2 linked regions of the Xenopus tropicalis genome follow. The protein of the gene in region 1 interacts with the protein of each later gene in a pairwise test. Links are inferred from orthologs where the notes say so. Each region holds a gene or a part of one and is shown on either strand. Other genes may lie near its edges. The genes, in order: xrn1 and zfp36.

Region 1 (4,038 bases):
TTTACATGTTTCACTATAATATCTGTGCTCTTTCCAGCCACACACATGTCACATTCTTATATGCTTATAATTTTTGTTGTCTTCAAAGCATAAACAGGATGATGAGTATTACAATGTGTGGCACTCACTGCAAGACTCTGGGAAATCACCTCGTGCTCAAAACTTGCATGGCAAGGTTTGTCTGGCATGTTCTCTAGCTGTATGATGGTCTTTTGCTTATTATCTTATATATATTATTTGACATTGATTTGACAGAAATAACATTAAATATTCTTGTGCAGGCTATGAACCTACCTCAGGAAAAGAAGCCAGGCCCCAATAATCATTTTTATAAGTCAGAAATGGCTGAGAGCAGCCCCAAATGTCAGTCCAAAAGACAGGATCCAATTAGGAAAAGTAAGTAAGAAAATGGTAAAGAACACATCACTAGAAATTGCTGCTTTGATTTTGCTGTGGCTTAAAGGGATACTATTCAGTCTTGGTTTTATTTTTACTATTCTATGTTACTTTATCCGTTTATATATTTTTAATCTAAATGAATAAAACAATAGGCAAAAAGTATGGTTAGCTCAATCCCTATTCATTCAAAAAAATGACAATGCCCATGTGGTTCCCATGATGACAGATGCGCCTCGCCAACAGACACTAGCTTTGCAGCCTGCATTTTTGCATAGGTTTTGGCTATTTGCAACATAGCTGCGAATTGCATGAGGCACAATTACACTGGATTTCTTGCAAAAAAACAAAACATGTTGTGTTGCCATTTTTTTTTGCATGCATGCATATGCGCTTACCTTAGCAAATTAGCTTTAGCAAAAAGTCCCTTTTGTTTTTACAAAGAATCAAGTTCAATATATATATATATATATATATATATATATATATATATATATATATATATATATATATATATATATATATATATATATATATATATATATATAATCTTTGTACATTTAATGCAGTGTTAGAGCTGTAGCATAATATTGTTATATTGACACAGCTGTGTGAAATCCCTTTCTGAATTACTTACTCCAATAATAAGTTAAATCCAGCTACATTTTTATGTTTTTTAGTGAAAGAGGATTTCAGGTTTCAAAAGCATGAGAGCCAAACCCAGGGTGCGTTAAACAAACCGGTAAGTTATTTTACAGATTTTTCTTACTCGTTGTTTTTTATTTACAAAATCCGTCAGTGGTCATAAGCACAAACCTCCACAAGAAGCATCAATTTTGAACTTACTATAAATAAGGTTAAAACGTATCATAAGTGTCCAGGACTTCTCTTAGAATATAAAAGGGATAATACAGTGTGAATAAGCATGTTGTTTTGTTACAGAATACGTACGATTCTATGAAGCAAGTGAAACTGTTGAAACGAACTGACAATCTCTTAGATATGCAGATTGAGAAAGATATTCCTAAGGCTTCAGAAGGAAAGGTAAAGAGAGAGACACCATTCCTTCCAATGTTTCCTGCATGTTTGTGCTTTGTATTGGGCATAACCTATTCTTGCATAATATGTTGTCTGTTTGTACAGGGAATGAGGAAGTTGCTTTCTACATGAGCTAGGGCCAGCCTGGGCAACCAAGTTGCCTGTTTGGCCCCAGCTTTGCCCCCCATGCAATATAATTCATCTGCATAAGGATAATAGCACATGGAGAGATTTGCAGCATTTTGTCCTCCTTCCTGAGAGCGCTAAATTGCTGGGGTGACAAAACTATACAATTTGCCATTATCCATACTCTTATCAAACAATGGAAACAATCTTTCCTAGAAGATCTACCTTCTGACAATTTCCACAAAGGATTCCAGGAGAAACCTTTGTTGACACCGAGAAAGCTAGCAAATGTAATTTTACATTTTGGACCACTGGCTAAATCTCTAATAATATGGCATACTGGCAACTTGGAAAGATAATAGTGAAAAATGTAAGGATACCAGTGTTTGATTAAACTACAATTTTTTGTTTTTGTTATTCTTAGCCGAATAGTGAGTTTGAAAATTTAATTGCATCACTGAAGATTGCAGATGAAGAGCAGACACAGCCTGCACCTCAAAGCCAAGACAAGAGCTCTAGCGCGGAACACTTGTCCCCTCAGTCATTTGCCATGGTTGGTATTTAGAACCCATCTTAATGCTATATCGACTTGGTACTGGGCCCAGATTTGAGAAAAGACCCGGGCCTAGGGTGGTGGGATTTTAGGGGCGGCATGCTGCCCAGTCGCATTTGGTTTTTTTCCAGAGTGCTAGGGGAAATAGCCCAATCTTCTACACACCAATTCCCCAGTGCTCTAGGACCAAAAGAGGAGTGCAAGCGAGAAGGAACTATGCACGACAGGGGCAGTGGTTGGGAGGAGAGAAACAACTGCGCATGCGTACGAGTGAGGGGGCGCATTACATGAATTGTAAATCAGGGGCTGCTTGGTATGTAGGTTACTGACCTCCCCCACTGGTAAAATTAATCATGGTCTGTGCATTATCCTTTCAAAGGAGAAGGAAAGGTAAAATTGAGGGTGCAAAAAATGTTAGAAACCCCCCAGTGATTGTAATTGCTCCTGTTAGGAGAAAACCCTATCTGCGCAGGGTGGCTCCGGGACCCATCTGTCTTTGTTCTTCTGATTCCCGGGGCCAGGGCATGCGCAGAAGGGTGAAAATGCTGACTTTCTTGTTTAAGTTTGGCTTTTAACTCTACTGCACATACACAAGCAGTATAAAGACAGAAGAAGGAAGAGAATCGCTGGCTCGCAGCCAACACGGGCTGGTACGTTTTCTGCTTTAACAGGGGGGGATGCCAAAATATAAAGCACCCCCAGTGATTGTACCTTTCCTTCTCCTTTAAATAGCCTACTTATTTTTTGACTGTAGCAGCGAACTGGGTGAAATACAGATAGCAAATAAAGCAGAATAATATATTTTATCTTTTGGTATTAGAAAGGAACTCAAATGTTAAAAGAGATCCTCAAGATTGACAGCTCAGACTCTACAGACCAACACAAAGAAGGAGTTAAAAAGGATACTGTCACAGCATCGTCTCAGCGCAAACAAACCAAACAGATAGGTATAAATAACATTTCTCTAAATTATAGTAGTTCTGTTGAAACTGTTATGTTGTTGGCAGTTAGAATATGTTCATCAGTTCTGATCTTGTATTGTCTCTTCTTCAGATTTTCAATACTTCAGCCCCTTATTACCCTTTATGTTTATCACTTAAAAGAATCTGAAATCAGTAAAGTGCGTGTCAGCTCATATAGTGTATATTTTAAGTATCTGTTTACAGTTACAGCCTTGTGTAAGACTACTTTGTTAACTAGTTGTCTGGACACAACATTACATGCACAGCCTACCTTGATAGTAACATCTGTACCCAAAAGGATTGTGGCCTAGTTGGCAAGTGCCTAGATTGCAGCAGAGACAGTTTTACAGGAAAACGTATATGTATTATGTACTTATTTCATAAAAGTACATACTTTGCATGCTGTTTAACTCTAAAGGCTTTAAGCCGGTAAAGGAAATTTAAACACATTGCTTCTGCATAGAGTTTTGTGTTCTTTAGAAAGAAGGGCTAGTGAATAGTGATGTCTGTATGCTGGAATGAGAATGCGCTCACAGGTAATAACCTACTTATAAACAGTATGAGACATCAGTGTATCATTTTCAGCCTTATTCCCCTATTGTTAATCAAGAGCAAGGAAACAATAACAACTCTTCTAACCAACTCTGATTTTTGTGTCCGAATGCTACTCTAGTGAATTCCCTGTGTCTTAATTTGCTGTGTTCCTACATAAATTCAGTGATATAATTGTTCTGTTTATGGACAATTAAATGCAACTCTGTCCTTACTTTTGAAGAGGAAGGATACTTTTCTGAAAACCTAACAAGCAAACTGAAATGAAATGCATCATGTTCAAATCTTGCAAAATAATCTGGCACAAACTGGACCATAGTCAATTTCTGCAGCTCAACTATTTATTAAAAAGTTCCAACACCCTTCACACAGTGCAAAATGATAGCCTTATGCATTTTGTCTCTCTGTTGG
Region 2 (4,010 bases), on another chromosome or scaffold:
TGAAGTAAGTGTGACTGAGTAAATATTTGATTAGGTGAGCCAAAAGTGTGGCGTTTTTACTAAACAATAGGAGGACTATTGGGCAGTATGCTTTTTAAATTTTGACTTCCATTCTCCTTTAATGACAGCCAAGTAAGTATTCCTTTTGGGATTTTTTCATGTAGCATACACCCCTTTTAGTGTGATGTCACTTTACACTCAGCATGCCCCCTAAATGCTAACCATCTCTACACAATGTAACAACAGGAATAAATTCCTTTCTGTCTGCCAGTGGGTGCCCCTTAATGAAATTTTGCCCAGCTGGTACCTTAGAGCGGCCCTGTTCTTACTTTCTCTATCTATGCCTGGCTAGTGCTTAGCTCTTATACCCCTTGTTTTTAGGTTACCTACCTGTTTTAACCTACCCAAGCCTACTCCTCTTCCCTATAATTTTGCTCCCAGTACTTGCCCACTCCCTAACTCACAAAGTTAATAACATGCTTCTTTTTCCAGCTATCCCTTTGCTTAACCCATCTAACTCCCTATCTCACACCCTCTGCCTTCTTTTCTACTAGATTGTGAGCTCTTTGCATTGCTCTCTGGCCTCATATCATGGTGTGTCTCCCTTGTTCCATTGTTTGAAGCTGGATTGTTTCTATTTGTAGTACTGTTTGTATTGTCAGTCCAAGGCTAGGGGCTCTCTGATATGTTGTTCCTTTATATAAAGGATAATAATGTTACCCAACTCTTCGCCCCACTTCCTAGTTTGCTTACGCAGTCATACCCCTCACCCTTCAGCTTTCATCCCACTGCTCACCCCTCTCTCTATGCCACCCTCTTTCAATTTCACTATGTGCTCAGTTCATTTTATTATTATTTCATTTTTTTTCTCATTAGAGCACAACAGATACTTTACATTTCTATCTTTTTTTTTAGTGCTCTCGGTCTTATTTAGCGCTCCTCCCTTTCTTTCATCATCTTCCTGTGGTTTCTGTCTCTCTCTCTCTCCCTCCCTGCCGTCTGGGCCTCTCTGCCTGTTTTGCTCTGTTTCTGTGTCCCCTCCCTGTTGGCTTGGAAGGAACTTGTTTTCCTAGCTGGGCGAGATTACCTAACACTCCCCACCCCCTTTGGACTTCACCCTTTGCGATGACCTCATAACTTCAGAGGAGGGAGGGGATTTGAGCATATATATATAAACATGGTGATCATAGAGCAGCACTATAAGGGATTTGCTGTGTGACAGAAGCTTCCCTGCTGGATCAGTATGTCCTCTATCCTGGATATTCACACTCTCTATCAGGTATGGTTCCTCCTGAAGCTTTCTCAACTTTAGTTTTCTGCTTGATCAGCTTTCCTTGCCTCTTTCAATACAACAGCCTACTAACAGGTGGTTTTATTTGGATGGTTTTTAAAAGAGAGCAGAAGTGATGATGCTGGGGAGTTCCACAAAATAGAAGGATGAATTGAAAGGGTTAACTGAGAAGATGTAAAAAGAAGATATATTTCAGGAACCCGACCTTGTGCTGAAATAAAAGTATAATTTTAGTTCAGGAGCCAAAAAGTTGAAGCAGAGGGTACTGCAGAATTTTATGTGATTTCATTCTCTTTATAACACTGGTATATTATCTAAGACTTTATGTATTGTGTCCCAGATGTACTTACAGATATGGTTTTACCAATTGTAGACACACAGATAAGAGAAAATGTACACATTGGGTTATTAAGCATTTTGTCAGGTAGTGATAGAGGTTAGCTTGTAGGACTTATGCCCAAGAGACCTATTCTTCGGGTGCTGGTTAGAGTGTAAATAGATAAAAAAAAATAGCAGCAGAGTGGTATTTTTATTGTATGTTTCCTTTCCAGTTTGGTTTTAGGGTAGCGGCAGCAGAAGTACAGGTGCTTCCTGTAATGCCGACTGACTGGCAATAAGCAGGCAATAAGCAGGCTTACATATTCAGCTTCACTTGTTAGGAAAATTGTTTCTGGGTGCTGCTTTACATCATCACAGTTGAAACTGCCTCTCCCTGCTAAACCGGATTATAACCATTCCCCCACCTCCGATCTGACGAAATGCTCAGCTTCTGTGGCATTAAGTCTTACACCCTTTTCTTGTCTTCCTGTTACATATTTACTCCCATTGCACAATGTAATGTAGAAACAAAGCAGAAAACAGTATCACTTCAGTCTGCTATTTACCTTTTATTGGTGAATATCATAACATGTTTTGGGAACTTTTTCAAAAAAGGGACAAGTTCTCAAATCATGTTGTGATATGCACCAATAAAAGGTGAATTTCAGACTGAAGTACTGCTGTTTTCTGCTTTGTTTCTACATTACGTTGTGCAATTGGATGGTGCGTATTTTGAAACAGAGGAAAAATTGGTATTCACTCTTATTCCTACTAGTGACATATTTACTCCCATCCCTGGCTCCAAAATCTATCTGACCTTCTTTCTCATGTCTGTTTTTCCCTTCTCTCCAAGCCTCTGTTATACACTTTTTTGTGTTCTTCTCTCTGTCTACCAGTCTGCCCTTCTGTCTCTTACGGTGCATGCTATTCCATGTTTTTCTTCTTAAGTTCTGTCTGTTCTTTAGATTGTTGTTGTTCTTTCATTCCATTAGCAAATTAGTATGTATACCTCTTCCTTTAGCTTCACCAACCTGTATTTATCTCATTATATTTCTCTGGCACTTTCTCTTTACTCCATACTTCCTATGGTCCTTGCTGCTTCTTCCTGGGCATCTCTGACTATCGTCCATATGCCTCTGTCAGACCTTTTCTGTGTACCTTTCTTGTTCTTTGCCTTTCTTTGTCAAACACAGTGGAGTAACTAGAAGCAAATATTGGACCTGCTATATATACCTCTATCCTTAAAGCAATTATTATGGAATCATGCTTGCCTATTTTTTAGGAACCTCGCCACCCCACCAGTTGGGGCAAAATGTTTAAAACTGTCCTTCCTTTGACTCAGATAGTAATTGTCTAGACCCTGCCATTTGTGGGTCGAGCAATCAAACATGCAGCAAAACTCTGGGAATCGCCCCTTGTGCCATTGCCCTTAAACATCAAAGATGACATTGGTTTTCATTACCACAAACCTTTTTCAGGTCCCAGGGCCCGTAGTAATCATAGCCTCTGTCCCTCTCCTAATTATGGCCCTTGTCACACAGCAGCTGTGTGTTTATCATGGTGCCTTGTTCATCTCATACTTATTTTCCTTTAGCTGTCAGTCCTTCACTCCATTTATAAATTTATATTTTATTTCCCAATTTACTTCTGTATTTCCACCCCCATCCTTTTCTCTTCTGCTTGTCTTTTAACTTTACTTATTTTTTAAGTACTGCTGAAAACCACCCTCTCTAGTATAGATGTCACCCAGCCCTTTTACCCCCTATATTTGCTTAACCATCATTCATTGTATTGTTTATTCATACAACTTTAAGTTTCTTTGTGTGATCATTACTGCCTATATTTAACCCTGTCCCCTGTCTGTGCTCCTATGTATCAGTGTTGTATCCCATACCTTTGCTACACCCTGCATACACCTTTAAACCAAAATAGCACTTCTATATAATGTGATATATCTGTTGGTTGCTTTATTGCTTCTGTCCACATACCAGATTTACCTCATATTTAAATCTTGTGCTTTCTGACCATTTAAACAGAACATTTTGTAAAAAGGTACTTTACTGACAAAGAAGCATGCAGACCCTTTGTTGCCATAAACCTTGACCCCTAGGTTTGTACCCTCTAACTTTGACCTAATGTTATCCCTCAGAATTTGCGCAACCTGGATCTTTCAGAAGATCTTGATTCTCCAAGAGAAGGGAAATTACTTAGTACTCAACGGAGACATTCCTGTACCCCTGACCTCGATGATCTGTACAGGCCCTCAATTGATTCTTGGAACTTTGACCTTCCACGAGCCCCATTCCGAAGTGACCGTTCGATAAGCCTGACAGAAGGACCACGGTTGACAATTCCTGCTCCTCCACCTGGATTTCCACCCCTCAAGACTGCTCTTCCTGCA

Evidence for each region.
Region 2: the proteins of xrn1 (region 1) and zfp36 interact in a two-hybrid assay, tested with the Homo sapiens proteins (2 studies listed by BioGRID). The link is inferred for Xenopus tropicalis from reciprocal best matches to the Homo sapiens genes XRN1 and ZFP36.

What each region holds. Positions count from the first base shown.
Region 1 is NC_030681.2:119,575,375-119,579,412, reverse strand, and holds part of xrn1 (5'-3' exoribonuclease 1), read left to right. Parts: intron 1-88; coding exon 89-175; intron 176-281; coding exon 282-396; intron 397-1,076; coding exon 1,077-1,138; intron 1,139-1,338; coding exon 1,339-1,440; intron 1,441-1,984; coding exon 1,985-2,113; intron 2,114-2,933; coding exon 2,934-3,060; intron 3,061-4,038. UniProt on the Homo sapiens protein: Major 5'-3' exoribonuclease involved in mRNA decay. Required for the 5'-3'-processing of the G4 tetraplex-containing DNA and RNA substrates. The kinetic of hydrolysis is faster for G4 RNA tetraplex than for G4 DNA tetraplex and monomeric RNA tetraplex.
Region 2 is NC_030684.2:81,494,655-81,498,664, forward strand, and holds the start of zfp36 (tristetraprolin), read left to right. Parts: upstream 1-1,210; 5' UTR 1,211-1,243; coding exon 1,244-1,279; intron 1,280-3,758; coding exon 3,759-4,010. UniProt on the Homo sapiens protein: Zinc-finger RNA-binding protein that destabilizes several cytoplasmic AU-rich element (ARE)-containing mRNA transcripts by promoting their poly(A) tail removal or deadenylation, and hence provide a mechanism for attenuating protein synthesis.